Linked DNA regions of Pelodiscus sinensis. The protein of the gene in region 4 binds, or shares a complex with, the protein of the main gene of each other region. Links are inferred from orthologs where the notes say so. Each region holds a gene or a part of one and is shown on either strand. Other genes may lie near its edges. The genes, in order: S100B, FGFR2, FGFR1 and FGF2.

The links.
Region 1: the proteins of FGF2 (region 4) and S100B are in contact, whole or in part, in an NMR structure (PDB 2M49), measured with the Homo sapiens proteins. The link is inferred for Pelodiscus sinensis from reciprocal best matches to the Homo sapiens genes FGF2 and S100B. Residues at the interface, in NP_001997.5 of Homo sapiens: Arg164, Tyr166, Cys167, Lys168, Asn169, Gly170, Gly171, Phe173, Arg186, Lys188, Asn243, Asn244, Tyr245, Arg262, Lys267, Gly275, Gln276, Lys277, Ala278, Leu282, Met284; in NP_006263.1 of Homo sapiens: Glu47, Ile48, Lys49, Glu50, Gln51, Glu52, Asp55, Lys56, Cys85, Phe88, Phe89, Glu90, His91, Glu92.
Region 2: the proteins of FGF2 (region 4) and FGFR2 are in contact, whole or in part, in a crystal structure (PDB 1II4), measured with the Homo sapiens proteins. The link is inferred for Pelodiscus sinensis from reciprocal best matches to the Homo sapiens genes FGF2 and FGFR2. Residues at the interface, in NP_001997.5 of Homo sapiens: Phe154, Pro155, Pro156, Gly157, His158, Phe159, Lys160, Lys163, Tyr166, Lys168, Gly170, Gly171, Phe173, Arg186, Leu197, Gln198, Ala199, Glu200, Glu201, Arg202, Gly203, Val205, Ser206, Tyr215, Val230, Phe235, Glu238, Leu240, Asn243, Asn244; in NP_000132.3 of Homo sapiens: Glu163, Lys164, Leu166, His167, Ala168, Val169, Pro170, Ala171, Asn173, Asp247, Val249, Glu250, Arg251, Pro253, Ile257, Lys279, Val280, Tyr281, Ser282, Asp283, Ala284, Gln285, Pro286, His287, Ile288, Ala315, Gly316, Val317, Thr319, Thr320.
Region 3: the proteins of FGF2 (region 4) and FGFR1 are in contact, whole or in part, in a crystal structure (PDB 1CVS), measured with the Homo sapiens proteins. The link is inferred for Pelodiscus sinensis from reciprocal best matches to the Homo sapiens genes FGF2 and FGFR1. Residues at the interface, in NP_001997.5 of Homo sapiens: His158, Phe159, Lys160, Lys163, Tyr166, Gly170, Phe173, Arg186, Lys188, Leu197, Gln198, Ala199, Glu200, Glu201, Arg202, Gly203, Val205, Ser206, Tyr215, Val230, Glu238, Leu240, Asn243, Asn244, Tyr245, Asn246, Leu282, Pro283, Met284; in NP_075598.2 of Homo sapiens: Glu162, Lys163, Leu165, His166, Ala167, Val168, Pro169, Ala170, Asp246, Val248, Arg250, Ser251, Pro252, Val279, Ser281, Asp282, Pro283, Gln284, Pro285, His286, Ile287, Ala314, Gly315, Val316, Thr319, Asp320, Glu324, Gly344, Asn345, Ser346.

What each region holds. Positions count from the first base shown.
Region 1 is NC_134717.1:65,124,399-65,131,888, forward strand, and holds the start of S100B (protein S100-B), read right to left. Parts: upstream 3,002-7,490; 5' UTR 2,294-3,001; intron 1-2,293. UniProt on the Homo sapiens protein: Small zinc- and- and calcium-binding protein that is highly expressed in astrocytes and constitutes one of the most abundant soluble proteins in brain.
Region 2 is NC_134718.1:57,071,104-57,078,512, forward strand, and holds the start of FGFR2 (fibroblast growth factor receptor 2), read left to right. Parts: upstream 1-4,406; 5' UTR 4,407-4,529; intron 4,530-7,409. UniProt on the Homo sapiens protein: Tyrosine-protein kinase that acts as a cell-surface receptor for fibroblast growth factors and plays an essential role in the regulation of cell proliferation, differentiation, migration and apoptosis, and in the regulation of embryonic development.
Region 3 is NC_134738.1:15,608,407-15,615,834, forward strand, and holds the start of FGFR1 (fibroblast growth factor receptor 1), read right to left. Parts: upstream 3,003-7,428; 5' UTR 2,870-3,002; intron 1-2,869. UniProt on the Homo sapiens protein: Tyrosine-protein kinase that acts as a cell-surface receptor for fibroblast growth factors and plays an essential role in the regulation of embryonic development, cell proliferation, differentiation and migration.
Region 4 is NC_134715.1:37,761,969-37,769,609, reverse strand, and holds the start of FGF2 (fibroblast growth factor 2), read right to left. Parts: upstream 3,009-7,641; 5' UTR 2,852-3,008; coding exon 2,200-2,851; intron 2,026-2,199; exon of another isoform or gene 1,888-2,025; intron 1-1,887. UniProt on the Homo sapiens protein: Acts as a ligand for FGFR1, FGFR2, FGFR3 and FGFR4. Also acts as an integrin ligand which is required for FGF2 signaling. Binds to integrin ITGAV:ITGB3.

The DNA.
Region 1 (7,490 bases), on a different chromosome or scaffold from region 4:
TGCTCGATGGCCCAGAGTCAGAAGGGGGACCCTATAGAACCTCATGCAAAGCCTGGAGTGGGCAACAGCTTTTTTTATTCAAACACAGCTGCTAAAACTATCTTCTGCTTCTTCAGAAAAAGAACTGAATCCCCTGCTTAGTGCTAGTACTCACCACCCAGAGACGCATACTGGGTAGGGTTGCCAGATGGTTGAAACAAAAATACCAAACACTTGCTCCTCTCCCTTCCCCCCCACCCCCAAAAAAAAACACCAGGAAAAAATTCTGTTGAAGGAAAACAAAAAGAGGGGTAGGAAAAAAAAGGAGTCCAAGACTTATTAATCTCTCTCTCTATCTCTCTCTCTATATATATAAAATAAAACAGCATTAAGACAGCTTGTCCTTTAAGAGTGAGTGCAGAGCTAGGAACAGGGGAGGGGTTGAGCACTAAGACCCAGGGGAATCATTGCTTCCCCTTGGTCTTTTTGCTGGCAGCCATTTTGTGCCGGCAGTCTTGCGAAACCAGGTAAACATGGGGCTGGGAGAGGCTGGGTGCTGAGTGTTTGTAGGGTTGCCAGATGCCCGGCTGTGGCGGTGCGTCGGGGATCCCCCGCCTCCTGCACCCCCGTAGTGGCACGAACAGACTCCACCAGCCAGTAGACTAGAGGGAGTTTATTGATTCTCTAGGATACAGCACAGCAAAGATGTAATCCGGATACAGGGCAGGCCTAGGATGCCTCAGCCCCCCTTGAGATGGGGGAGACTGGGTCCCTAGATCCCAGCCTGTTGTTTAGGCTGCTTCCTCCATGATACCAGACAGAAACTAAAAACATCCCTTCCAGCCCTGCCCCCCAGCCAGGGGCTGGCCTCCCCTCCTTCCTTCGTTTCTCTCCCTGGGAGGTAACTGGTCGGACAGGTTGGGAGCCCCTTGCATAATGACTCATCCCCTGTCCTGCTGGGCTGTGCTACAAACAGCTGCCAGCGGAGGTCACCCAGAGCCCAAGCCTAGCAACCAGCAAGATACCAACACTACGTCACACCGGAATTTTCACTGCCTGGCCAGGAAAAAAAATCAGAAAATACCGGACATCTTGGGGGTCTGGTATTTTCTGAATTTTCTTTACCGGACAAGAGGTGAAAATACTGGACTGTCCGGGTGAATACTGGACAACTGGCAACCCTAATACTGGGATATGACAGTGGACAACTAGTCTGCATATGCACAGACGCCCACGGAATGCAGAACAGGCGCATTATCCAATTTGTCTTTGTGCGGATATCTGAGGTCGAACCCCAGCGGGCTTCAGGCCAGCTTGCTGAGTCACTTGGCAGTTGCTGTGTTTGCAATAACCAACCATCAAATAATGTTTTGTATAACACGTGGTGCTATGCAAAAGTCCCTCTAAATAGTCATTCCAGCGCAGGGCTGTTTCTTGTAAGAGTGCCTATCGCGTGGATGCCACTGGAGAATGACACCTGCCAGAGCAAACTTGCTGCAATGCACCAAAGTGGGTGTTGTACTGTAAACATGGCAGCTTGGGTGGGACATCAGGGAAATACCAGCAACCAAGCACAAACCCCACACATGACCTTCCCCTTCTTGCTATTGCTGGATATGCAAAGGGGAGTGGAAGTTGACAAACACAGATTACATGCAGAACAAAGCTGATTTTCACGGGCTTCAGTTGGCTTTTTGTGCCTAGCAAAGCTGCATCTTGAAAATGAGCTGAGTCTAAATCAAGGTAGTATTGATCCTGAAAGTCTGCGATGCTGCTCTCTCAGTGCTGCTGAATCAATATTTGCGTAATTTTACAGGGACTTGATTGCATTCTTAATCAGTGCAATGGAGTAAGAAAAGTCACATGTAAAACCCCTCCATTCATCTGAGGAATGGTTTTGACCCTTAAAAACTTATGCCCAAATAACTCTGGACTTCATTGTTTGCACAGCTACAGACTCACGCTGCTAACCCTCTGAGATTTACTCCCCACCCCACCCTGTGCTGCTGCCTCTGTAAAGCTCCCCACAGCAGGATTTCAGGCTCTTACCTCAGTTTTTTCCAACTCTGCCCAACACAAATCAAATCCATGCAACAGGCCCTGGTGCCTCCCCCCACTGCCCCGCACAGTCCTGCCCTCATCCAACAGGTGTCCCCAGCCAGGTACTCACTAGGGGACTGGGGGCCCCCATTCCAGCCCCACCCCACTCCCTGTAGGAGTCTTGCTTTAGCTGTTGGCGCTGCCGCTGGCTTTTTACAGAGGCCATGGTGCCCTGCAGCTACCACCCTCCCCCGGCCCCTGCTGTCAAACCCACCTCATGGGAGCTGTGACGTAGTGGGGGGCTGTTGACTCTGGTGGCCCTGGGCCCACTCTGGTTGGGCTGTCTCTGGTCGCTGTGGGCTGTGAGTGACCCTTCCTGGCCTGTGTCTGTAGCACTGCCCAGCGGGGGGTCGCCCTGAGGAATCGCACGTCACGTAGTCCGTGGCCCAACCGGGTCTCACCTGTCCAGGGACGGGGTCTGAACAAAGGAAGGGTGTGGCTCGGCTGGGAAAACAGGAAGAGCGGAGACTAAGCTGAGTACTGGGGGCTGGGGGGGGCTGGACCCCTACCCCAAGGGGACTGAGGCTGCCTGGCCCCAACTCCTGTAGCCACATCATGTCTGTCCTGTGTCCTGGAGAAGCAATAAACCCTCCTGTTCTACTGGCTGGCGGAGTCACATCTTGCTGCGGACCGGGGTGCAGGACTGGGGGGTACCTGACACACCACCACAGGAGGCAGCTAATTAGTTGTGGGGGAGGGGCCAAGTCCCTTTCCTATCGCGCCCCCCATCCTGTGACAGTCCCCTGCCCTGTGCAGCCCCAGCTCATTTGCTTTCCACCCCCATTCTCCTGGCAGTTGCGGGGGACACGGTGTCTCGACCCCCACTCAGCGTAGCTGGGCCCTGTGCTAATGGTGTGGCAGACCGGGGGCTGGTAAGAGAGAGGCTTTGGCCGGGGGCAAGCGGCTTGGCTCCCCGGCTTGTGTCCCACCCCCCTCAGTGCCAAGGAGACACAGAGCACAGAGGGCCAGGACAGGGCAGCATGGGGCAGGCGCCTGCTGCCAGTGTGGTGACGCGTGCATGGGGGGGGGCGGCGACCCCTGCTGCCACCTGCACCACGCCCCGTGATCCCCAGGTCCCTTCCGACCATAGGACAGCTGGGGGGGGGCACTGAGGGGTCCCCAAAAGCGTGGGGCCTACAGGCAGCTGCCCCATTTCATCCTATGGCCAGGCCGGCTCAGAGGGCAGGTCCCTTGCTAGCTCGGGGCCTGTGCGTAAACAGGGAAGCTGTTGCCCTCTCTGCTGTCAGAATCTGTCCTGGGGAGCGAAGCAGGCCATTCCGAAGGAGAAGCCAGGAGAGGGGGCAGAGAAGCAAAAATGGTTTGTGTGTGTGTGAGGAAATGAAGGGAAGCGGGCGAGAGAAGTGGCACGGGGACAGGAAAGGAGCAAGCGTATTTCAGAGGGATGGCTCACGAATGTGTTCCAGAGGGATGTTCGCAGCCGCTCCGCTATTCTGCAAGGGAAGGGAAGACAAATGAGAAATGCAGGGGGCAAAGATGACACAGTCAAACATTTGGCAGGGGGACATGTCACCGTGTGGTTAATTGGAAACAGCGGCGAGGTGAAAGTGGGTGAGTTCCCCCTCCATTTGAATAGGTAACCTCCCCTACCCCTGACAGAGGGAATACCAGACTAGATGGCCCTTAGAGAATTCCTGCGTTCCCCAGAGCAGAGACCTGGAGTTCATGCCTAATTCCAGAGTGACAATTAAATCCAGAGCTGTCCAAGTTCTCATGTGGCCGCACTGGCCTGAGTCTAAGAGAATTTAATCTGAGCTCAAGACCCCATTCTACTCGCCCCAGGTACATTGTCAGAGACAGGCCCTGACAAGTTTACAGTTTAAATAGATGAGACACAGGGTAAAAAAATCTGTTCTGTCCCCAGATACAGATTTTAATCTATTTTATAAAGGTTCGTATCCTGCCCTCATTCCTGTAGGACCGGAGCATCTTCCAAAGCACAGTCAGCCATGAGACTAATATCTGCCATGTGGGATGGGGAACCTGATTTGGGGAGAGTAGTTAACGGCTACGTCTAGACTGGCATGATTTTCTGCAAATGCTTTTAACGGAAAAGTTTTCCGTTAAAAGCATTTGTGGAAAAGAGCATCGAGATTGGCATAGACGCTTTTCCGCAAAAGCACTTTTTGCAGAAAAGCGGCTGTGCCAATCTAGACACGCTTTTGCGCAAAAAAGCCCCGACTGCCATTTTCGCGATTGGGGCTTTTTTGCGCAAAACAAATCTGAGCTGTCTATACTGGCCCTTTTGCGCAAAAGGACTTTTTCCCGAATGGGAGCGGCATAGTATTTCCGCAAGAAGCACTGATTTCAGACAGTAGGAAGTCAGTGTTCTTGCGGAAATTCAAGCGGCCAGTCTAGACACAGCCAATGGGTGTGTCTAGACTGGCAAGATTTTGTGCAAAAGCACTTGCTTTTGCGCAAAAATTTGCCACCTGTCTACACTGGTCACAAGAATTTGCGCAAGAGCACTGACATTCTAATGTAAGAATTCAGTGCTTCTTGCGCAAATACTTTGACACTCCTGCTCAGGGATAAGCCCTCTTGCACAAGAATACTTGTGCAAGAGGGCCAGTGTACACAAGCATCTTAGTTTTTTGCGCAAGAAAGCCCGATGGCTAAAATGGCCATCGGAGCTTTCTTGCACAAAAGCGCGTCTATACTGGGCATGGATGCTTTTGCGCAAAAGCATCCGTGCCAATCTAGACGCTCTTTTGTGGAAATACTTTTAACGGAAAAACTTTTCCGTTAAAAGCATTTCTGCAAAATCATGCCAGTCTAGACGCAGCCAATAAGTCTAGGCATTCTTTTAATAGCAGCTGAGATAACGCAGTCTGGTCCACCAATTGATCTTGTATCCAGTAATGGAATTGTAAAATGTAGTGCCATCTATGATCTGGAAGCTCTGGCCAGGATATCTGCATGCTTTTAGTAAGTGGGATTTTGATAGCCAACAGCATTTGGCAGGAAGCCACTGCCTGATTTTTCAAGGATATTTATATTCACTTAAGTCTAGGATGCAAGTGAAGGAAAGAGCAGCCAGCAGTGAAAAACATAACTATATATTTTCCATGGTCATAGCTAGTCAATCTTAGTAGATACTTTCTCTCTTCCACAGGCCAGGCCATGCATCAATGCACAAGGTTTAAAGTCCTAAACAGGTTTCCTGCTTTGTCCTTTCTTCCATTATATTGGTTGCCCTCGTGTAGACCTTTCGGCTACGTCGAGATTGCATCCCTTTTTCTGCACGGAGCTTTGCCGGAAAAAAGCACCAGTCTAGACGCGGATCTTTCGGAAAATAAAGCCTTTTCTGAAAGATCCCTTATCTCTCTTAAAATAAGGGATCTAGATGTAGCCTTCAGGTAAGCTAAGTCTTCCTCAGAAGGGAAGAGGGAAGGGGTTTCCCAGCAGCTGATGTGAGGGCTGTTTGCAGCTGAGCCAGTGGGGGATGCTCAGTTGCAGATGGTTCCTGGCACCTTCACAATTAATTCACATCTCTAGTGCTGGGGGCCCATTATTCCAAGGGCTCCGAGCTGGGCTGGATGGCATAGTGGTGTAAGGCATGGCTTGTCTACACTAGCACTCCTGCTGTGGCTCTGAGCTAAGCTAATGGGAGTGAGGAAAGCAGCAATGTAGACAAGGCCTTCAGGATCACATGGGATTAGTTTGGGTCACCACTGCCAATAAGCCAACCAGTACAGAGATCTCAACTGAAAGTGGGCAGCAGTATTAGCTGTCTCCCCTTACGCAACTCACTGGTCTTCTGCCCCATTGCCCTTCCAAGAAGCACGACAGCAGCGCTTGGCTGAGAAGTTCCATCTCGGAGCGCGGGCAGCCTGGCTCAGGAAAAGTGGTGCCCAGGATTATCCCGCAGAAAGAAGAGGCTCTGAAGGGTGGCTAGTTTGGATGCTGGCAACTGGGCTGCGCTTGTCAGTCCTGAGTGTGCAGCATGCACAGCCAAGCGCAGAGCTGAAGGTGTTCTGGCCCTGAAAGCACATTTGTCGGGAGGCGTCGCTGTTACCACGGGGTAATGCTCTGACAGCTTGAATCAATCCTTGGGTTGGATTTCCAGGCCTGGCCCAGCTCTAATGGTCTCAGTGGGGGCTGGAGCAGACCCATCTCACTAATGAACATTGCTGCGCAATTGGCAATTCCAGCTCAAGGACAGACCAGACGGAAAGGGCCGGGGGTGTGCGCAGAAACGCTGCGTACTGCCAGACTGCTACACTCGCCTTGGCCAGCACCATGACTTCATCGCTCTCAGAGTTACATACCTAATAGCTTCTTAAAGGGACAGGGCTATTTTAAAATCCACAGCCAATGTTTTCAAGTGATCTCAAGTTTGGGGTGCTCAGGATTTGCGTGGCACAGAAATGAACACCTTCAGCTCTGCCCTTGGCTGTGCATGCTGCACACTCAGCTATTCCCCAACCCTTACAATACTTTCAGCAATACTGAATTTAGACTGTACTGAAGAGTATCTGGCCCCAAATGGTTAAAGGACCAGGGAGCAACGCATAAAATTGTGCTGTCTCAAATATTTCACTCCTCCATTTGCACCCCACCCTCTTCTTGAGGGAAATACAAAGAGGCCCTTTTATAGCTGCTGCGGATGAGAAAGCCAATTTATTTCTTTGTCCCTTATAAGCATATGCGCACCAGGCTCTGCCTGACAATGGGGTAGTGACTGGCAGGTCTATTCTGCTGTGGGAGAACAGAAACAAGATCTGGAGATCTTTGGGGGAGCAGGTGCCACTTGCTTCAGTCCCCAGGGCTCGCTTGCAAACACAGCTGCACGGAAAAACACTTTCTAGGGCAGAAAGCTGCCTCCGACACTAATTCCTTGGTGTGTTCCTCCCCTTTTCACTGCTGAGCTGATCCTGGACCTTACCAAAGTAGGGAAACAAACTTGGATTTCTCAGCCGACTCCCAAGTGAAGCAACTAGAATATTAAAGACCCTCATTGCTGCTGGGCTGGCCTGATCCAAAGCCCATGGAAATTATTGGAAAGACTCACATTTCCTTCCTCACTGGGACTGTGATCCAAAGCCCAGTGACCTAAGCACAAAAGCTCCATCGGGTGTACAGGGCAGGGAGAAGCTTTTGTTACATAGAAAAGGCCGGTGGATGAGGGAAGAATTACTGTCCCATTTCTGGGAAAGTTTCACAAGCAACCATGTAAAAAGCCTGCAGTGCTGGAGAAACACTTGTTGGAGTTCTGCCTCAGGGCACACCTGTTCCCTAGAGCCCATTCATGCACCTGGGGTCTCCCCTTCCTTCTCATGGAAGGTGGGGATCTGGGGTTTTGCTTCCCCCCACAGCAGCATTTCCACTCCTACCTCCTGTGGGCAGCTCTGTGGGACAATGCACATTAGCTCTGCAGACACACAGCCAGA
Region 2 (7,409 bases), on a different chromosome or scaffold from region 4:
ATGACAAGAATGATGAATAGCAAGAGGTTTAAAAATGCTTTGTGGTTCAAATGGGGCCTGCTCAAAAAAGCCACTAAAGCCAATGGAAAGCACATGTTCAGCTTTTCCTTGGTTTGTCTAAAATTATGTATGTTTCTTTTTTTTAAGCAATTTTTATACGAGTTCATTAATGAGTTGCCTGAGAATGCTGACAGCCTAAGGCAATACAGGTTCTATAATTTAAACACTATCGCTCACATATTCTGCTTTTTTTAATACTAATATAGTGGAAGCACATAGCAACTTGAAAAAATTTATTCTTGTCCCATTAATGTCTCTGTATTTCCTTCCACAACACCTTCCCTGAACAAATTCATAAGGCTACTACCCCTATTGGCTTTCAGTCCTACATCCAGGGGACACTGCTGTTATGTTGTCCACAAAAAATAGCCAAGAAAGGATGAAAGCCCTACAGGGCAAGGACTGTCCTATGGCTTGTAGAGAATCAGGTATAATAGAGCCCTGAGCCAGAAGGGGATACTGGTGTTACAGCTCCACAAAGAAAATAGCAATGATGATGTTTAACTTCACTGGTTCTTAGATCTGAGTTTCTGAAAGAATCAGTGCTTCACAGCAAGTAGCAGAGTGAGAGACAAGTATGTAACACACAATATATTGCAGATACATAATGTAATTTAGGAAAAGGTTAATATAAAGCTTTTGCCCCAAATGAAAGAGAATAGAGAGATTGAGCATTAGGTGTTGAAGCTCTTTAAATGAACAGTTCAAATTCAGCTCAAGGTCAGAAGTGATTTTGAGTTATTAGTCACCATTTGATAACTTATGTGAACTGACTTTGATGATCTCCCTCCAGTTCCCCAGTGGGCAAGTATCTACTGCACACGAATGGGCCGCTGAGAGGCTACCCTTTGACAAGGAGAGGTGTTTTGGTCTGTATCGAGAGGTAGATATGGCAGTGTGGAGTGATTTGCTCTGCTGCTGTCCAAATTGTATCAGATCTTTGGTTAACAAGAAAGAAAAAAGAACAAGTGTCTAGGGTTTTATAAAGCAGCTTTCACAACCACTAAATTCACATGAAATTAGAAAGAAACCTCTTCTGATTCCCCAGAAATATTCTAAGTAGGTCTGAAAAAGAAAAGGGATAATGAATACACCCTTCATAATGTAAGAGGCATAAAGAATACAGCCTCCTGAGAAACAGATTGCTTATAATTTTCAAAAGAACTTGCTAGAAGCCACAATGTGTTTTGGAAGGAATAAGGATCATATTTCAGCCTTGGATTTTAGACACACATTGTGACACCCTGTGGCAGACATGCCAGGAACTTCATTCCATAAATCACATTTCTTGAAAAGGAGGCCTCTGTACTCAGTAGTAGTAGCAGCAGCAGCAGCATTTGTTTCTTCTTTTTCTTGGCTGCTTCACTTGGAAGTGGTATAAAGACTTAACCCTCGTCAGGAGAACCTTCAGAGACATAATGTAGTATGTGAAAGCTCCAACTTTTGCCTTGTTAAATGAATCTTAGTCCATATAAACACCCCCTGGAAAAAAATCCTGATAATGCTGCAAAATGGGTGTGCTGTTTTCATTTAGGTTTTTTGGCAGCATTTTTAACAAGAATATTTCTGTGACTCTCAAACCAGATGCATCATCTTGGATGGACTATGATGGCAATAAAAACATCACCAATATCTTTATTCTGAAAACAGGTTTTGTTAGAAACATCTTACCAGATAAGGAGAGAGAATGGGTAAGAATATTTATTCATTTGCTTAGACATGAGTGAGTCCTTATCAGGATTTTGTGTTCAACTGGACCCTTGTTTAAGTTCTTGGGTCCCTGGGTTTATTTTTTTTATTTTTCACTGTTTTACTTTTACTTTCCTTAAAGTGGTGCTTTTCCTTTTCTTTAATTGTTATATAACTCTAGGGAACTAGAAACATTTCTTACCTTGCCTTTTCATCCTGAAATGTCACAAGTAGATTTTTTTTTTGCATTTTTTGTGTTTATATTTAAACCATGTGAGTTGTGGCAACCAATGAGATACTCCCATATTTAAAGTTAAGCATGTGCCTAATTAAGTACTGTGTTGGGACAAAGGATAGACACTCAGTTCACCTAATGAGCACTGCCACATTACTGGTGGTGAAAGACAGTGATGATCTCACCGTAGCCTCTTGGATAGCCGCAGTACTGTCCTGTCTGCAGAGGAAAGTGCTTCCTGTCAGCCACTGAGAGTTAAAAAATAGTTCTTTCCCACCATAAAGGAATATACATTTTGGATCAAATTTTGTTTTGACTCTCGCTGTCCTAGTTTTTTTTAAAGAAATCAAGCACAACTAACTGTTAAAGATATTGCTTATTAAATAAAGTGGAATCCTTTAGATGTATCATTAAAATTTATAGTAGAGAGATCATGTAAAGTGCTGGACTGGCAGTCTGACAACTAAAAACCTCTGTTTATTTGTGGAACAGGTACAGCACATGCAGCTGCATGTTAAACTGCCTGTGTGTCTGCAGAAATGTGTTTCACCTGGGACTGAAGAACCATCCTATAGCACAGTGTAGCAGTTCAGTTTCCATACCTATTCATTCCCTCCTTGCATTCCACAGAAAGGACCATTAGAGGTGTCAATTTGTCCTAATTTTGCCATCCTACGATCTTGATATCTGTCCACTAGAAACTGCAATGAGACCACAATCTTGTTTAATGGTGTAATGACTTGGAATGTAACGTTGTTTGATAGTTGACCTGGACTGCGTTGAAGTGGCATGTCTATGCAGCAGCTGGGAGGTGTCATTCCCTGGGTAGACATACATGTGCTAATGCTGCTTGAGAGAGCCCCTAAAAATAGTGGTACACAATGCTGTTGAGATTTTGGTAGTTCTACAGCCCACAGCACAGACCTGGAGGGCTGCTAAAGTACTTGAGAGGCCTCTTTCCCCTGGAGCAGCCCAGGAACAGGAGGGTCCACGATGGCTTAAAGCCATTTGCACTCCTTTCCCCAGAAGCAGTGAGTTCTGTGCTGCACCACTTACACGTAATCTCACCTGGTATCTCTACCAGTCCCACAGCCATTTGGTTTCATGAATTCAGTCTCATTTTCCCCACAAATGTCTGTCTTCACTCTCTGTGATACCAGGCCAAGAAATACAGCTTTTTAAAATTGAAAATAACATGGACCAGAAGATGTGGAAATCTTGAGGTTGTAGCTGCCTCAGACAAAACCAAAACATATTTACTTATTATACTGTTTGCTAACAAAGACCAGAGCATGGAAACGAAAGGCAGCTTCCAGGCAACAGGTGTGCTTACTACCTTGTCCCCCTTTCCTTTGTTTAAAACACAAGGATGACAGCACTAATGTGCTGGTCATGCTGGGGCTAATTCCCAGTTCCAGCAATCAGTAGTTTGTGATCTCTAGCACGGTGGGTTTCAGACTTTTTTCTCATGATCCAGCTGATGAAAATTGATGCCTGTGACCCAACATAATTTGACTAAAGTGTGGGCTGATGATGAGAGCTTCAGTTTTGGGAGTGCAGCAGGGCTAGGCCAGGAAGAGCTTATCTCGAGTGGCCCCCAGTCAGTGCTGCAGCGGTACAAGTAGGTTTCCTGCCTGTCCTGGCACCACAGACTATGTTGCACCCCAGAAGCAGCCAGTAGCAGGTTCTAACCATTGGGATCATGGAGCTAGTGCTCAGGGCAGAAGCAATGCACAAAGCCCTGTGCACTCTTTTGCCCCCCATTCTCACCTAGGAGCCAGGCCTGCTGTTGGCCACTTCTGGGGGGCAGTGCAGTCTGCAGAGCCAGGACAGGTGGGAAGGGTGCGTTAGTACCCTCACTGACCACACTGCATCAACGAGATCCAGTGCCAGACATTCTGCTACTCAATCCTGAGCTGCAACCTGTAGTTTAAAACCACTGCCTCAGTACACACAAGGAAAGGTGCAATTTGTGCTTATTAGGGCTTCAACATGAAATGAGCTCTTTGGGTATGAATCTTATCTCCCCTTGCCTGAATGAAGATTTTGAACTAGTACATCTACATGGATGGCTGGAAATGAAGCAAATGCCTTGTTTTAATCTAGACTTAGCCCTCAAAATTCACTATCTCTTTCTTCTCAGAAACCCGGAGGTCTGACCCTTCCAAAACCATCCCAATAATATTTTTCACTTCTCCCCATGCACCCGAGAATGAGGGCTTTTCACAGGTTAATGGCTAAATGAACTTTGTTGTAAATTTGATGCTATGACTTCCAAAGGAAAGAAATGACAAGCATTGTTTTGCTGAGTATTACTTGGTGCTGTGCAGCCCTAAGGCATGCCATGAGTTAACTTTGCATTGTGATATCATTTCTGAGTTTCATGTCTGTCTTTTTATGTGAACACCACCCACACAAAAAGGGAGACCTGTCAAGCAGCAACATGTTCAAGACACCTAGACACACCTATTGAAGCAAAGCTTTCCCTGACGGAGTGTTTGGCATTCTTTTAGCCTTTGCCTATTCAATGGAAGAAAGCAAACAGGTATCGTAGAGTTTATTTTCACGTTGTATTTGTCCAACACCATAAACCTTCTGTGAATTGTAGTTCATGGACAGTCATGGAAAAGGATCTTCATAGCACATTTTCCTGCAGATTCCTAACTGCATATAATACATAATTCTATACCCTAAGCTTCTGGTGAAAACAGCAGTTTTGCATGTACATGCTGTGCTGAGTCTATTGTGGCATTTGTGTTTTGACTGGATGTTTTGATTTAATATTTATTTATTTATATTGTATTTTGTTTTATTTGCTGAACAGTGGGGGACGCAGGGAATATATAGGTTTGTTAGTTCCGTGAAAGTGGTTTTCAGGGTAAATTCCAGGGGGAAGGATCTTAGAACAAAGGCTAGTTTGAACACAGTACTGGGAGCAAGGAACTACCATGTTCTAGTCCTGACACTGTCACCAGTTTGCTGGATGGCCTCAGAAAAGTTACCACTCTGGTGTCTGTTTCCTGGTCTGTCAAATGGGAATAAGGGCTGATCAATACTTGAATCATTCATTGACATAGCTATAACAAAATACAGGACTATGTAGCACTTTAAAGACTGACAAGATGGTTTATTAGATGATTATCATCTAATAAACCATCTTGTTAGTCTTTAAAGTGCTACATAGTCCTGTATTTTGTTTCAGCTACACCAGACTAACACGGCTACATCTCTATCACTATTGACATAGCTATGTCTCTCAGGAGGATGAAAAAATACAACCTAACCTCCTGTGTAGACAGTGCTAGATAAATGGAAGAATTCTTCTGTTGACTTAGCTACTGCCTCTCAGGAGAAGTTCTCCCATTGCTGTAGTGAGTCCACCTCTCCATTGCTGTAGTGAGTGTCTAGAATAGTCCTGTTGTGAGTGCGGGGACTGGACTTAGTTGACCTGTCAAAAGACCTGGGGCCAGTCTTATGAACCTAAGAAAATCTATGAAATAATGTTTTATATGTTATACTGAATTATCCTCTGCCATAGTGCTTCGTCGCTCATAACCAAGGCCCAAAGGCCAATGTTTGAGGGTTTCAGTTCTGTGTATTGGGACTCAGATTGCAGGGCCCCGCACCCCAGGGCACTGGTACTCAGGAAGACTCAGACTTTGGTCTCTCCTCCTGGGTCATGTAGAAATTTTTATTGTCAGAAGAGGGGGTGTGTCTAATGAAGTTTGAGACCCTCTGGTTTAATGAATCCCCCTTCGTATAGTAAATGTAAAAATATTAGTATTTGAGATGAAAAATAAAATAAGTGTTCCTGTCATGGCTCCTTCCCCACTCTGGCATGATAAATGCAGAAGTGGGGGCCTGCAAGTGTACCCCAAAACCTTATCTACCAGGCTTTGGTACAAAACTTCCCCCCAAAATCTTAAAACCCTAAATTTTGGGAATAAAACTTCCGCTGCCACCACCCAAATATAAATAAAGCAATCAAGGGAAAGATCATTTGGGAAATCTCACCCCTAAAGTAAAAATCAGGGCACACGATTAACCAATTCCAGGTTAATAATTCAGCTTGGACCACAAGTTGCATATGAGTCAGCAGTGTGATGCTGTTGCAAAAAAAGGAAACATGATTCTGGGATGCATTAACAGGTGTGTTGTGAGCAAGGCACGAGAAGTCATTCTTCTGCTCTACTCTGCACTAGTTAGGCCTTGAAGTATTGTGTCCAGTTCTGGGCACCGCATTTCAAGAAAGATATGGAGAAATTGGAGAGGGTCCAGAGAAGAGCAACAAGAATGATTAAAGGTCTAGAGAACATGACCTATGAAGGAAGGCTGAAAAAATTGGGTTTGTTTATTTTAGAAAAGAGAAGATTGAGGGGGACATGATAGCCGTTTTCAGGTATCTAAAAGGGTGTCATAAGGAGGAGGAAGAAAACGTGTTCATCTTAGCCTCTGAGGATAGAACAAGAAGCAATGGGCTTAAACTGCAGCAAGGGAGGTTCAGGTTGGACATTAGAAAAATGTTCCTAACTATCAGGGTAGTCAAACACTGGAATAAATTGCCCAGGGAGGTTGTGGAATCTCCATCTCTGGAGATATTTAAGAGTAGGTTAGATAAATGTCTATCAGGGATGGTCTAGACAGTACTGGGTCCTGCCATGAGGGCAGGGGACTGGACTTGATGACCCCTAGAGGTCCCTATCAGTCCTAGTATTCTATGATTCTATAAAAAGAGAACATTTATCATCACAACAATATTCCTGTTGAAAGCTTAATGCCTAGATGGAAAAGTAACATGATATACTCATGGAGAAACTCCATGGGCTTAGAACTTAGTTACAGAGAAAAACCAACCATTTCTTGAAGTGTGCACAGACATCAGACCTCATCCCTAAAGAGAAAACAATAAAACCTAATGGATTTATCTAAACTTTACCCTACTAACAGAAAGTGAAGAAAGGGTCTTTTCTTGGAGGGAGAGAGAGACAATCTTGTCTCTCTCAGTAGCTGCAGAGCAAACCCCCCAGAGGCAAAGGAGGAAAAAACAAAATTCCTTTGTCCCAGTTGAAAGTCCTACCTACTTTTCTATTGGCCACTCCACCTGGCTAAGTGTGGTTAACCCATTAGTCCCCCGGCTGCTAGCCCTCTCTCATAATCATGACACTTCCAAATTGTCATCTATGACGATCTTCGTTCCCTACCTATTTCCCCCAAGAAACTTGCTATGAAATTAAATTTCCTTAGCTTAGAAGACATTCAATACAAGCTTTTCCAGAGGGTTTTTGCAATGCTTTGGTTCCATCTTTTGCATGTAAAGTTGGGTGCCTTTATGGTATCTTGCCAGGTGGTAGTTTGCCAAGGAATACCATAGATGAAATTGCATAGTGTAATATACTCCAGAACTTCATTCTGCTCACTTTCCACT
Region 3 (7,428 bases), on a different chromosome or scaffold from region 4:
TTACAAGACAGTCCAGGTAACCATTAAGGCTAGAAACTTACTTAGAAACCCCCCAAAGCAGATAGTCCCATGTGTGCCGGGCTGGCAGAAAACCATCCCCTATCAGGAACGGCGCTCCTTGGCAGCATTCGCTCCTTGGCTTTTTCCACAATTATTCACTCAGCTCCAGAAACGTTCCAGCGTCTAACAAGGTGCATTTCAAAAATGCCAAGCCGTTTGTCACAGCAAAGGCATGCACAGCCCTTTCGCCTGGGGCCAGTTCTCTGCAGGAAGGGCCCATCTCCACCAGGCACTTTTACACCCACACGGCCACTCGGGTGCATGGGGCTCACCCCTCAATTTGCACCTGCGTCTCTCCACCAGGGCTCTTTGTACACACACCCCACACTCTTGTGGACACAAACTCCTGGAGGGGCTGGAATCCCTTGTAGCGTGGCGGTGCTGAGCGGAGCAGAGCGCCTGTGCGTACAGAAACCGTTGCAAGCCAGGCTGCCGCAGCTAGCTCCAGCAGGTAGACTTCATTTGGTACATTTTTAGCAGCACATTTTAAAATGAAACACCGCCCATTTGGAGCAGACAGCCTCGCAGCAGCACTATCAAGGGAACCTCCAGGAATTCCTTGCAGCTTTCTTTCAAGAGACTCACTGTGCTTGGTTGTCCACCCTTGGGCACTTACGGCCCATTAAATAAGGCCAGGCCTCAGGAAAGCAAGTCCCCACAAGCTCAGCCCCCAAGTGCAGCTGCAGGCAGCCTGAACGAGGAGTTTACTGCTAGCCGTTTCTCACTCTCGGCCAAGGCTAAAGAGAGGGCCAGATTTTGCTTCCTGGAGCTCAGTGGTGTTGCAGGAGGGAGGACAGAGCACCACTGACATGTTTTAGACTTGCTAACAAACCCCCTAACATATGGGACAGTATTTACAGAAGGATCCCCTTAACGAGACCCTCCAGCTGGAGCCTCCCCATACGACCAATACAGGCTCCAAAAAACTTCCGCTGCAGCAGGGAGAAATATGTAAATAAGATATTAGTCGGCATGAGAAACCCAGGCAGGCACCTGCATCCCAGCACACTGCATGACTGCACAAATCAGGACCCATCTGGGATTCCAAACCATTAGCAGGAACTGGGAAACCGTAACTCCAGGCATCTGAAGAAGTGGGCGGTGCCCACGAAAGCTCATGATCCCAGCTCCATGTTTTGTTAGTCTAGAAAGCGCTACCAGACCATTTGTTGTTTTTTTCTGTAACAGACTAACTCTGCTACCCCCTGCAGCCGGGAAACCACACGGCCATGTTATGGGGATGCTTTTCTATCAGCCCCAAATCTAGAAGAGGAAAGCGAGGAGGGGGAGCTTTCGGCTAGCTCGTCTCAGATGAGCCAGGTATTAGGAACCCCCCATTCCTCGGACCTTCAGCTCTGCAGAGTGCATCTCCCGAGGGAGAGCGCAAGGAAACGCCGAGTGCGTCTCGAGAAAGCGCTATTCCATTACAGAGACAAAATCAACAGGCTGGAAACCCGAGGAATGTTTCCAGCGCAGAAGAGATTTCCCTCCCCCGCTAAACTTTGTACCTTAAGAAGCGTTTTTGGCTCAGGAAGCCCGCGGCTGTGAACGCGCAGGCCTCGTTTTATGGGTTAAGGCAGCGCTCGTAGGGTCTCCGGTGTTGGGCTTCCGAGAGGAAACAGCAAATCGCAGCGAGACGAACCCTGACACGGCCCCTCCGCACTGCTCACATCCCAGCGTTTCCATGGGAGAAGGGGAAAAGCAACGCCCGACGGTGAGGCAGCGTCCTCGGGGGAGCAGCCCATCCAAGCCAGGCCGAGGGGAACTGGTGGCAAGGCTCCGACTCTGCCCACGCTATCCCGGGAGTGTGCTAGTCAGCCAGGAATGTCCTAGCCCCTGGCCCTAGGCTCCCTGAATCAGCCAGGCCCGCCCAGCCCGGCGCAATAATCAATACGATCAACAGTCACCAGGTGCCAACTAGGCAGAAAGTTCACACAAGGTCAAGGAGCCCCCCCCCCCGAAACCAGCCAGCCGCCTGCACCTCAGGGCTCCTGCCCAGCCCCACAGCCGGGACTCCCAAGCCACCTTCCCCCAGGGCCTGGCGGAAACCCCCCTGCTGCGCCTCCAGTGCCAAGGGAGAACTGAAAAGGGTGGGAAATGCCCAGTCCTGCCCACGCCCTCCGGGGAGCCGGCTCGGGCAGGGCAGGGCAGGCAGGCTCCAGGACCCGGGCCTTTGGCCTGACCCCCGTGGCCTTAGGGCCCCCTCCCCAGGCCTGACTGCAGCGGGCGGCTCCCCGTGGGGAGGGCTAAGCGCTGGCGGCCGGGCCAGACCAGGCATCGCACGGGGGGTCCTGCCAGCTCACATCCGCCCTCGGCCGGGCTGGGGCGCCCTGCGCGGCACGGCGGGGCTGGAGGAGGGGGCCGGACACACCGGCGCGGGGCCCGATCCCGCAGGCGGCGGTGGGACGCGACTGTTCCCCGCATCGGGCCCCGCGCCAGGGGCGCTGCGAGCTCTGCCCAGCCCCGCGCCGGACGCCCCGGGCACCTGGCCCCAGCCTCGGCCGGGGAAGCTGCGGCTGCTTTCCCGGGGCCCAGGCAGGCGGGGGCGGGAGCCAGGGGTCGCATTCCAGCCTCCCCCGCCCCCCGGACACTGAACCTCCCGCGGTGAGGGGGCGGGCCGGGCTCCGGCTGCCCAGGGTGCTCCCCGCAGCATTTCACGCCCCCCCTCCAGGCTCACTCCGCTGCCCCGCCCCCCGGAGGCGCCCCCCCCCAAAGTTTGGGGAAAGTTTTCTCGCAGCCGCGATGGCGCCTCCCGGGCCAGGGGGCGGGTGGGAGGCCTCGTGGGGCGCCCCCCGCCCCGGGTACTCACCGCTTCGGCGGGGTCCAGTGGCGGAGCCGCCGCCCCAGGCGGGGCCGGTCCCGCTCGGGGCCCCCGGAGCTGCCGCGAAGCCGCGATCCCCGGCGGCTGGGAACAAAAGGCGCCGAGCCGGGGCCCAGGCGCGCAGCCCTGCCGAGCTGCCCCGGCTCACCGCCCCGGCTCCATCGCGCCGCGGGGCCCCGAGCGCGGGAGATCCGGGCAGGGGCTCGGGCCCCGGGGGAGACACGAGGGGCCCCGACCCCCCGGGAGCTGGGAGCCCAGGGGCCCGGGCGCGCTGCGGTGGCTGCGGGGCGCGCTGCGGGTCGGCTCCGTGCGCTTGGCTGCTGCCCGGTCCCCAGTGCGCGCTGCGGAGCAGGGCTGCGTCCCTCCCTCCTGCCCGCCCAGCCCCTCCTCCGCCCCCCGCCGCCGCCTGCCTTCTCCCCGGCTCCTCCTCCTCCGCTGCCCGCCAGCGACCTGCCCGTCCCGTGGGGGAAGGACTCTCTCGCCGCGCCCGGCCCCGGCTTCTCGGCACAGAGCGGAGCTGGGAGGCTGCTCCGAGCGCTGGCGGGATGGGCGCGCTCCGAAATGCAGCTGCATGGAGCTTGGGGCTGCGGGGCTCCAAGCGGGAAAGTCTCCCCCCCCCCGCCCGCAGAGCTTTGCCTTGGCCCCCCCGGTTTGCAATGTATTTGCCCACAAAACAAACCCACCACCGAGGGGGGGGGTTCTGACCCTGGTGATTTGTGAGGGTTATGGCCGCTCTCAGAGTCCCCAGGATCCGGGCCCGTTTGATTAGGTTAGACAGGTTGGACCTCCCTGGTCCGGCCCGGGTCTGACGGGGATTTCCTTGGACCAGGGTTGGTTCCCTCCCGCTGCTGGCCTCCCAGCCTGCTGCCCCTCCCGGCTGCTGGCAGGGGGATCTCCAGATGCCACTGGTGGAAATCCCTTGCTGTGGGGATCTGAGCTGGGAATCCCCAGTTGCTGGCCCTGCTGGGGACCCCCAGGGAGGGCTGGAGCTCTCTGGTGCAGCAATATCTGAGTCCTGCGGGACTACGGATGTGGCTGAACCGGAGAGTCCCAGACTTGAGAGACGGAACCTGTAGTCCGATAGGAATTAAGGCCAGTGTTTGCCCCGCCGAGTTCACAGTCTAAGGCCCCATCTTGCAATGGACTGGAGGGAGGCAGCCAGGGCTCGGCCAGCGTGGGCTGCCAGACACACAGTCACGGACGTGCAACAAATAAACGAACCCAGCAACAGCCATGCAGCGTGTCGGAAGAGCACAGTGTTGCCAACTCTTGCCGCATGATAATCTCCTGATACTTGTGTGATTGTTAAAGCCCAGCTGCTATGCTCAAGAGATCAATCTCAGATTTCTTTCTTTCTGTCTATTTTAGGTAAGTTTTCTAGCCCTTGTGGTTGGAGGATAAAGTTTGAAAAAGGCTCAGAGAAGGCCAAACGGATTTTCCTTTTGCAGTCTCTGGATTTCCAAGCCAGTTCATGATTATTTAGGCCTTGACGCATGATTTTTGAGCCCTGACGGATGATACTGACGGATACCCTCCAACACACACGCTCCCTACCCCTCTGGTTGTTAATTCGTGCAAACTGCCTGAAGCTTTCCGGAGTGAAATAACAAACAGTAACAAAAGGAGAGAGAAATCCGAGGCACAGGCTCAGGGAAAATCGGATTTTATTGTGGCTACTTTGTTTTCCAGTAGAAAGTCCCTCTGAATTAATATCCCGACCCTGTCATGGACTAGCTGAGTTCCTCTTTCCTACGTTTGATACTTCCAGCTCACAAACATCTTGGTTTGATTATGTGCCGCCTAAGAAAGACCAGGAGTGATCAGACCCTTATGCGGTGAGGGCACTGCATGGATCTGACCACAGGATCAGGCCCGAAATCCTCAAGTTTCAGAGTTTGCTTTCATGTGCAAGAGCTGCCTGATGGCTTCCCGTCAGATTTTTTTTGCCTTTTGCTCTTGATAGACAAAAACATGCCAAACTCACTGCTATTATCTGGGGGTTCTGTTGGCTTGAACAATCTATTCGAGGTTTGTCCTCTTGGCATATTTGTATCCATCAAAAGCTATAGGCAAATGTTTTTCTTAGTTACTGCATAGATAGGCAAATGTAGTCCCCTAGTGCATACGTGGCCTGGCTTGTGGACGTGATGAGCACCCACAGTGCCCTCTGAAAATCCAACCCATATCTTCCCGCTCTGATGGGCTTTGACAGGATTTGTCAGACCCAAAGCATCTGGACCACAAACCACAGAGCAATCCAAAACCAGCAGACAGCTGACTTCACTTCCCCCATCTGTCTCAGGTGAACCCTGCTGCGAGGGCCAGCCGAGAAACAGGGTGCAAGTTCTAAGCTGGGAACCCTTTGGGAACATCTCTGCAGGCAAAGGCAGCAATCCAACTTGGGGATTTCTGGAGGCCTCTGACACCAGCTCGGCCAGGAGGTAGCTGCAGGGGGAGTGGAATGCTCCGTCTATTGTCATGCAAATTAATCTGCCCCAAACCCTACTTGGCTTCAAAATTCCTAGGTCCAGTAGCAAGCAGCTTCTGGCGGGGTGCTCCCAGGCGAATGCAGGTTTGATTTAAGGGGCCTAGCGAGGGAGGGAGTCTGGGTGAGTCTCCAGAGAGGTCCGGCCCGGAATGAAGACATCTCCTGGCTCACTGTGGAAGACAATGTGTAAATGATTAAGTTATGAAGTGAAACAAGACAGGCTGAATTAGATCCATCAGTCACCACGGCGATATCTGAACCAAATGCCAGGCATCCGTCTTTACAACGAGAGCAGCCCCTTACCAGCACAGGCAGTGGCTCCGGTTGGGATGCCAGTGGGTTTTGCCAGGGTGATCGATAGATATTGGTGGATGCGAGGGAAGCGACCTTTCCTCTAGGACTCTCCTATCCCTGCGGGGTGTTGCTACGGATCACGTCCGTTCAGGGCATGGGGTTGTGCAGCTCTCGCTAGCTCAGTCATCAGATATGGGCTGGAGGCAGGAATCAAGGTGCAAAGTTCTCTGCTCCATGTTCTGCAGGAGAACAGATTGGATGGTCACCGTGATCTCCAGGCGTTACATTCGGTGGCTCCATGACTAGGTTATGGTGGGGAGCTGTGACATACCGATCTCCGATCTCCCTGGAGCTGTGGTTCGGCCTCGCCGGCTTGCCGCCTTTCCCAGAGCACCCCGCTACCTCTCTGCTCAGGGTTCCTCGCTGGTCTCAGGGCCACACACCCAGGCGCTGAGCTGGGTCAAAACACCGGTGGGCAGGAGCCGTTTGTTGTTTGTTTTGCTTTCAAAGCTGCATTTTTTCTACCCTGATTTTGTCTGTTTCCGTTTGGCGGCAGACGGGCTCTTTACAGCCAAGGGAGGAGAGTGCCCGGAGCTTGGCTCTGCTACCAGGATCCCAAGGGACGAGAGCGCCAGAGCTCAGTTCGGTGCGTCCACACTGCGGGAAGGAAGCCCAGGCATGGAATCTCAGGTTCTGGGACCCTCCCCCGCACTGGACTGCAGAACAGCCAAACAGCCCCCTTGCAATTTGAGCCCACCGAGTCAGCTGCCGCAGGCCATGCCTGGGTGTTTTCCTGCCAGCCCTCCCCCAGCCTCTGTCCCTTCTGGCAGGAGCCAGGTTCAAGAGCTCTCCCGGGGCTGCTGACAAGGGCCATGGCGGAGCTGGAGTGCCGGGAAAACTCCTCTTGGTCTCCGGGGCCTGCCCACCCCGGGGCCTGCTCTGGAGAGAGGCAGGCAGGAGCGCAGGCCCCCTCCCCCGGTCGGATGCTCTGACTTGCATTTGACTCTTCTTGCAGCAGCAGCCCCAGTGGCCTGCCCAGTCCCAGGTCCTTTGTCCCGTCCTCACGCCCGGACATGGCTCTGCCTGCTTTGCTCTCAGCCTTGTCCCCTCCCTGCCAGGGGAGGCAGTGGGGGAGGGCTCGCACCTCCCGGCTATTGTTCCTCCAGAGGGGTTTCTGCCTGCCTGGATTAACAAGGCAGCAGCCTGAGGGGGGCTGGTGGGGAAATTCGGGGGGTTCAGTTACAGGCTTTGGGAACGTGCCGACAACGGGAACAAGAGTCCGACCGCCTGGCACCTGGTGGAGTGGAGTCCCTCACCCAGGGTGCGTCTGCACCGCGCTGCTGCTGGAAACAGGCGAGGCCACTGGAGCTACACACACGACGTCTCCTACTTCGACGGTAGCTCAAAATAGCTTCTTTTGAAATCTGGCGCTGGCTGCGCAGCTCTCTGCCGACCGCCCGCGGCTCCGAAGCGCCGCTCAGAAGCTGCAGAATGGCTACCCGGGGATCCCTGCGGTGTCCGGCACTAGCGCTGCAGCGCCCACGTAGCCCCACAGCCCCCAGCTCAAAAGACAGGAGTTGCACTGAGCTGTTACCGTCTGGCGGGCTGGGGGGACGTGAGCTGGGCTCCCTGGGGACAGGGGAGCAGCTGTCCTGATTTCGTAGGGGCAGTCCTGGTGTTTGGGGCTTTGTCTCCTGCCTCCTCCGCCCCCGCCCCATGGCTGTCTGGGCACCTGACCCGGGGAGCGCGAGCTCAGTCCTGTGAG
Region 4 (7,641 bases):
AGATATCTCTTCCCCTAGAACAATGTAGTAAGATGAGGGCCCGAAACAAACATTGACCTAAACAGCAATGGTAAAGACTTTGCTAATATAAAACAGAATTAAGCTGTGAGCATGAGGCAGGCCCTGCTCACAGAAGCTGGCAAGAACAGGGCTGATGTTACGGAAACACACATACCTGCTAAGCACAGGCTGTAAGCACATTCCAGAGGTCATGAAGGACACCTCATTGAGAAACATCTTGGTACCAACACACACCAAAGATAACAAGAACATACAAAACCAGATTTAGGACAGGGTCTAAACTGACAGCATGATAGATAGTGACAGAACTATGTACAAGGTAAGGGGTGGATCTAATGTCAGAAGACGGCAACCTGATATGTCAGGAGTGAAGTGTAATTTGTTTGCACCTGTGTCTAAAAGTGTACACTCAAAGAATTGTTGTCTAGTCAAGGGGGTAATATTAGATCAATAGTTTTGAGTGAGGTATTCCATTGTCACAAGCAATGTTCCCACTAAGCTTTTCCATCCATGTGTAGAATAAATTTTATGTGCACCAACACATGTGCAGATGTGCACCAGCAATAGAAATACATGCTGATGGCTCTAGGCATTGCGGGCGCTCTGCTAATCAGCTAAGAAGCATCTGTATCTCTCCTGAGTGTCCACACAAGTGCTCAGCTTACAGGCACTGGTCATGAGGTACATATGAGTAGTGGCTCTGGGGCAAGTCTATTCGTTGACAACTATTACTGTACTTTGCTTGGCAATAAACCTGGCCTGGTGCCTTCGATCCTTATCTGATTTTGTGATCTTTGGGGGCTCTCTCTAATAGACAGGAGAAACACACACACACACACACACACACACAAGTTAGAATATAAGAACAGCCATACTAGGTCGGACCAAAGGTCCATCTAGCCCGGTATCCTGTCTGCCGAGACTGGCCAATACCAGATCCCCTAGAAGGAGGGATCACAACAGGTAATCCTCCCGTGATCCCTCTCCTGTCACCCACCTCCAGAGAAACAGAAGCTAGGGACACCATTCCTACCCATCCTAACAGCCATTGATGGATCTAACCTCCATGAATCTATCTAGCTCTTTTTTGAGCCCTGTTGAAGTCGTAGTCTTCACCACATCCTCTGGCAAGGAGTTCCATAGGTTGACTGAGCTGAGTGAAGAAAAACTTCCTTTTGTTTTTGTTAAACCTGCTACCTATTAATCAGGGTTTAGCACTGACTGAGTAGAAAACCTGCTAGGAACCCATCAGTAATGCTTGACTGACAACAAATACTGTCTAGGAGTTGGTTCAAAGTATTGTACACTTGTTTTTACTGTCTTTTGATCCAAGTTTATATTAGGGATGTGAAAGTGTAACCATTTACATCAGTTAATGTGCAGGGTTACACACAGACCCTCACCCATGCTGTTGCCTCTATATGATTTTCAGTGGTTACACGATTACATAATTAGATGCATTAACATCCCTAGTTTATACATGAAATTGAAAACCTTTTACAAACAGGTGCCCCACTCTTTTGGTTGAGGAAGAGAGCTTATGTGCTTTAATAGAGCCATAACCGTTAGTAAAGCAGACAAAGTATTTACCATCTACACTGAGATCATCTCCTGTTAGGAACCGTAAACTTCACTCTCAATGAACTAGGCAAGTGGCGTTCTATCCATTTTGGAGACAGGGGAAAAGTCGGGTATAGGCAAGAACGTTTTCCTATGCTTGAATAGGATGGGGAGCATTCTAGTTAAACTCCTGGCTACAGTTTGCAGTTGAGGCACCCAGGCAGCTAACCAGCCTTAAAGCGTCACAATCCTGAATGAAGCTCCTCTGCACTGACTGCGAAGTCATGGTTATGACTGTCCCCAATCCTGATCACACACCGGGAGATTTTTCTCATGTGAAGAAGCCCAGAAAGGCTGAGTGATTAGCCCCCGATCGCACAGCAGGTGGGGGCCCAAAGCAGGAGAGCACTCAGGCCCTCGACCCCACCCACCGATGGCTCGAAGGTAACAGGCACAGGTTGGATGCCTGGGGCGCTGTCCTGCCCCCACTAAGCGGGACGCGAGCGCTTGCCATTGTTTTCAAGGGAGCCAGGAGTGCCCCCTCCGGGAGGAGTTGGGGCTCGGCGGGGCCTGCCCCGAAGCCGTGCCCAGGTGGGAGGGGAAGAGGCTGGTACTCACTGTGCGGGTCGCTCTTCTCTCGGACTCCGTCCACTCTGCCGTCCGGGTTGATGCGGAGGAAGAAGCCCCCGTTTTTGCAGTACAGTCGCTTGGGGTCCTTGAAGTGCCCCGGCGGGAAGGTGCCGCTGCCCCCGTCGTCGGGCAGCGTGGTGATGCTCCCCGCCGCCATCCGCCCCGCCGCGGGGTCCCGGGCCGGGGAGACCCCCTGGTGCCCGGCCCCCCTGCCGCGGCCGCCCAGCCTCGCCCCCTGCCGGCTTCGCCCTTCGCCGCGCCCGCCCAGCCTCGCCCCTGCCGGTGGGGGCCCGGCCCCTCCTCTCCGAGCCCGACGCCCCGGCCCTGCCGCCTCCGCGCGGGAAGCGGCTCCCGGCTGCCCGGCGGGGCTGAGGGTGCTGCGCAACGCCCGGGCGCCGCGAGCCCGTGGGCCGGCCAAGGTGCGGGAACGAGCGTCGCCCGGCTGTCGCGGCGGGCCAGAGGCAAGCGCCGCTCTCAGCCACTTGTTTGTGCGCCTCGGCTTCCCGCTGCTGCTCCGCCCCCTGCCCGGCGCTGGGGGCTCGCTGGGCCGCTCCGCTGCCTGGCCGGGGGGACTGGGAGCCTCCTGCTGCGCCTGCTGGAGAAACTGGCAGCCGAGCCGGAGGAGCGGTTCCCTCCCCATCCACCCTGCCCGGCCCTGCCTCCCCTGGCCGCACAGCCAGCCTCCTGTCTGCCTCCCCGCCCGCTCCCTCGCCTGGAGTGCGCAGGGAAAGTCCCCTTCCCGACCCTCTGCCGGCTGCAGGGCAACAGCATCCGCGCGCTTTCACAAACTGGTCGTAGACAGAGCGAGTCTGGGGCAGCTGGCGCCGCAGAAAGGAGCCAGCTGGGGCGGTGTCACTTTTTAGGCACTATACCAACCCTTTTTTCATTTGCTCTTCTGGAGGGGGGTTTGTAGACGACGGTTAAGGGGGGGTATTAAAGCTAGTGGGGGCGTGAGGAAGATCTTCATTTCACACCCTAGGACCTGCACTTCGGGGCAGGAATAAATTGAATCGTCTCTGCTCCAGTGCCAGGAAAACAGCAACTCCCACCTCCCAGTCTAAATTGCCTAGTAGGGATGTTAAATTTCAAACAATCAGCTAAACCAGTACTAAAGCAAAAGTCTATCAACTACTGGATTAGTAGATAAGGGGAGGGGAGTGCTTGTTATCCTAGTGATAGAAATGTAGCCGTGTTAGTCGGGGGTAGTTGAAGCAAAATGCAGGACAATGTAGCACTTTAAAGACTAACAAGATGGTTTATTAGATGATGAGCTTTCGTGGGCCAGACCCACTTCCTCAGATAAAGCTCATCATCTAATAAACCATCTTGTTAGTCTTTAAAGTGCTACATTGTCCTGCATTCTGTTATCCTAGCTGCCTCTTGTTCTTACTAGATTTAAAAGGCAAAAGAGCAGCCCCTTTCCTTCCACCGCCTGTTGACAGGCCTGTCAGTAACACACAAATGGATTATTTTTAAATCAAATTTTAAAGCAAGGCCCTCTAGACTCTCACATGGTAAATTAAAAAATTGACAGTATATACCTGGACTTGGAAAAATGTTTGTAAAATGGATTTGTTATCACTTGAATGGCTCTTTCACAGGTTCAATGTTCTGCTAATAGGTCAGGCAGGCTGTGTTATTTTTTAGTTAACTAGATCCTCTCCGGAAGAAGCAGAGCCACATAACAGGGATAGGAAGAGGCAGGTGGATCCACATTAAGAGCCAGGCTCCGTCTACCTACATTGTAGCCTTCTTCTGGAAAAGTTTATGCAAATGAAGCTTGTGTAGAATAGCGCCATGCTTCATTTCCATATTTAGTTAGCTGTTTTTGCGCAAGAGGCTTTTGCGCAAAAAGGAGCTGTGTAGACAGCTCCTTTTTGCGCAGAACCCCCCTCTTGCGCAAGCCGTTCTTCATTTTTTCCAGGGAAAAGGCTCCTGCGCAAGAGGGGGTTTTTGGACAGAAGGGTTTTTTGCACAGAAAGGAGCTAGGTAGACAGCTCCTTTCTGCGCAAAAGCCTATTGCGCAAAAAGGGCTGCTCGTTAATTATGCAAATGAAGCATGGCAATATTCCACTCCATGCTTCATTTGCATAAGCTTTTCTGGAAGAAGGCTACAGTGTAGACGTAGCCCACTGTTGCCCCAGATTTTCAAGTGTCCTACACAACTCTACAGTCTAGGTATGGGTAAAGATGACTCTGCTGAAAGACACAATATTTCCTCTTCACTGGTGTGTGCATATCCAAGAATAAAAAGGCCAAATATTTCTCCTTTTGGGAATCAAGAAAGAGCAAAAATGTATACAAGATTTACAAGTAATAGGAATCTTTCCTTTGTGCAAAGCTGAATGATGAAAACTGTATGGCGGAAGAAAAGGAACAGACAAGTAAATCTTAGAGGAGCATTAGTTATGACTTATTGTGTTAGTAGAAGTGGCCCAACCTTAGAGTGTTTGCTAAATCCTCTCCTCCACTATTTCTGAAGAGCACAGTAAACAGTCAGAAAACACAGAATAAAACACTCTTCCTGTTATCAGTCTGCACCAGCAGGAAATATTGCCAGAAGATGACCCACAATTTGTTCCACTTGATCCACAGATCTGGGCTGCCAGAAGGGATCCTCATAACACAATATTCCTCTCTGTCAGGACATTATAAACCAAGTTCATACCTCAAGGAAAAAACATTTGATAGCTATGCAAACATATATTCGTTACCTTTCCAGGAAAATGAGGGCTAAGGGACAATTGTTCTACCCCAATTCAACAAATAAGGCAGTCAGACAAATGGTTGACTACTTTCAACAAAAATACTATATTTATGTTTAAAAAGTGATTTTCTCCCACCCCAGCAATGCCAAACTACAAGCCTCTCCATCACTGCTACTCAATACCAAACAATGTCCAGTTTGATATTGTATTAAAATCTATTGCAAATATAGCTGCCTCTTGACAGTTATATAATTCTAGTAAGACGAATAGCCAAATCACTTACTTTAATGTGCACATAAATCAGTGTCATGCATTGCATTAGCTTTTCGTTTTAGACAAGGACCACCCCAAACCAAGCATCTAGAATTGGTGGTACAATTCCCATTGCTCCTCCATATTGGATTTATCTGTCAATGTGATAGAAGTAATTCTTTCTGTATTATCTAACTATACAACAATTGCCATGTGCTTGTATTTTAAATATTGCATGTATAAACATAACATCTACAATATTTGATTTTATAAATATCATAAGTACAACTGTTCAAGCCTGTGGGGCTGTGGCCAAGTCTTGTTGGTTTCTTGGAGAGGAGCGCAAAACATTTTCTCTATGTAATTTATACAACTGTCAACTTCTGTCCAAAGGCCAGAGTCTGGAGACAGCCAAAATGTGATTTTTCCCTAATACTGTCCAGTCAATGACCTCATGCCTGACCTGGAATAGTCACCCTACAAGGGTGTAAGAAGTTTCATCTTCTTGATTGCTTGGACCACCTAGTTCTTGTTCTCTTCCTAAGCAGAAACTATGTGCTATTACACAAGAGCTAGTATTAAGTTAATAGTTAAGATAAAATCGAAGTGAACAATTTGTTACTACAGCTGTGAACAAGAGGGTGTGTAGGAAGAAGTTGTCCACTCTGGCACTCTTAAACAGCCCTTTGATTACGGAACATGATCCTTTCAGTAAAGATCTCTGAAAAAGCTAACCTGGACATTGTTATTTTCATGACAATCCATTGCTAATTATAAAGATTTACTTATCTCACATGTATTGTGCAGCAAGGAACAAAAATCTATGAACCTTGGTTCCTTTTCCTTACACAAATTTGGAATTCCATATAAAGTTCCCATCACTAAGAGATAACAGCAGACTATCTAATTTGGTTGGTTTCTCCTTCCCTGATGAGACTTTAGAACACTTTTTCTTCCTATATCAACTCAACTAAGTCACTATTGTGACAAAAGTACATGTCACTGAAGCCAATGACGTCAGGGCATTCAATTACAGAAATAATTAATTAAACTAGGAAAAACAAAGCCTTATCAACAAGATGGCGGACAGGTACGAGGGAGTACCTTTCCTTTTTGAACCAGCCCAATTAACACATTCCAATAGCACATTTGTCTTGGCCTGGCGCATGGGGTGATAGAAAGTTCACTTTGGCCTACGTGCAAAGACAAAAAGCTGAAATGGTTTCTGTTATACAAGATGGCTTCTAGCTAAACATAAAATAGCTTCTACAGAGCTGAATTCGGGGACAATCCCCGGAATTTGCCCCTTTAGAGTATTACAGTTAGGCACAAAAAACATTAAGGTCACAAAACCCAGGCATTCAAAAGCTGTAAAATACCAGTGTTCCTGTTGCCTGGGTATAAACTTAATTTGGCCCCTTGTGTATTTGCATTATGACCACATATTTTTCTGTATTGTCTCCCTGCCTCTTTTTGTGCTCATGCTAGATGGTGCTTAAAGAGCGGCTATTCAATATTTTGTGTTCTCTCTGTTCAGTACATAACCCTTAGCCTTGTATACTGTGCACTACTCAAACCCTGCTCTAAGGACAGAAATTCAGTTGCCTTACATGTTTTACCCTGGTCTTCACAAAGACTAATGAATTTATTTTCACAAACTTCCCTGCAAGATGAAAGAGTATTTGCTCCAATTTACAGAGTGGGAATGGCGGCACAGAGAAATTATAGTCAAAAGCATCCATTGATCTTGGATGCCCAATTTGGTGGTCCTAGTACCAGAGTTTTCAGAGTACAAAGCATTCTGTAGTAACTTACATGCTCAAAGCACAGCCCCCATTGACTTTCAGCCATGAGCGCTCAGCATTTTGGTGCTGAAGACAGACGGTCGGGCAGGGTCGGCAACCTTTTCAAATCGAAGAGCCAAACTACATCAAAATTCAGAACAAGTGGTCGACAAGAGCTGTATAAGAATGCCCATTTGCAGGACTGAAATATACAACTTAATATTATTGATAATCAACATGGTGATTAATAATAGCATAAATGCAACTACTCAGACTTTAATAGGACTTCTGCTGCAGTATCTTTTCACACATTTCTTGAAGTTCACATCATGATGGGTCAAATCCAGCTTCGTGCATGCATTCAGGGTGTCGTCTGTCAATCTCATGGCCAGGGGCTGGAGATGTAGGGGTGTAGGAGTCTGGGTTGCTGTGTATGAGGGGCTCAGGGCAGGGACTGGGTTATGTGGAAAGTACACGAGGCAGGACAGTGTGTTGGGGAGGAGGGGAGAGGACAGTATGAGGAGCGGGGGCTGGATTACCTTACCTGGCTGAGCTGTTGCACTCAGGCAGCAGCGGCTGGACGAGAGGCGGGGCCAGGATTGCTGCAGCTGGATCATGGCCTCCCCTCCTATCTGTGTCACAGCAGAGGGGACAGTGCGCCACCAGCTCTTCCTGCGGCCAGATGG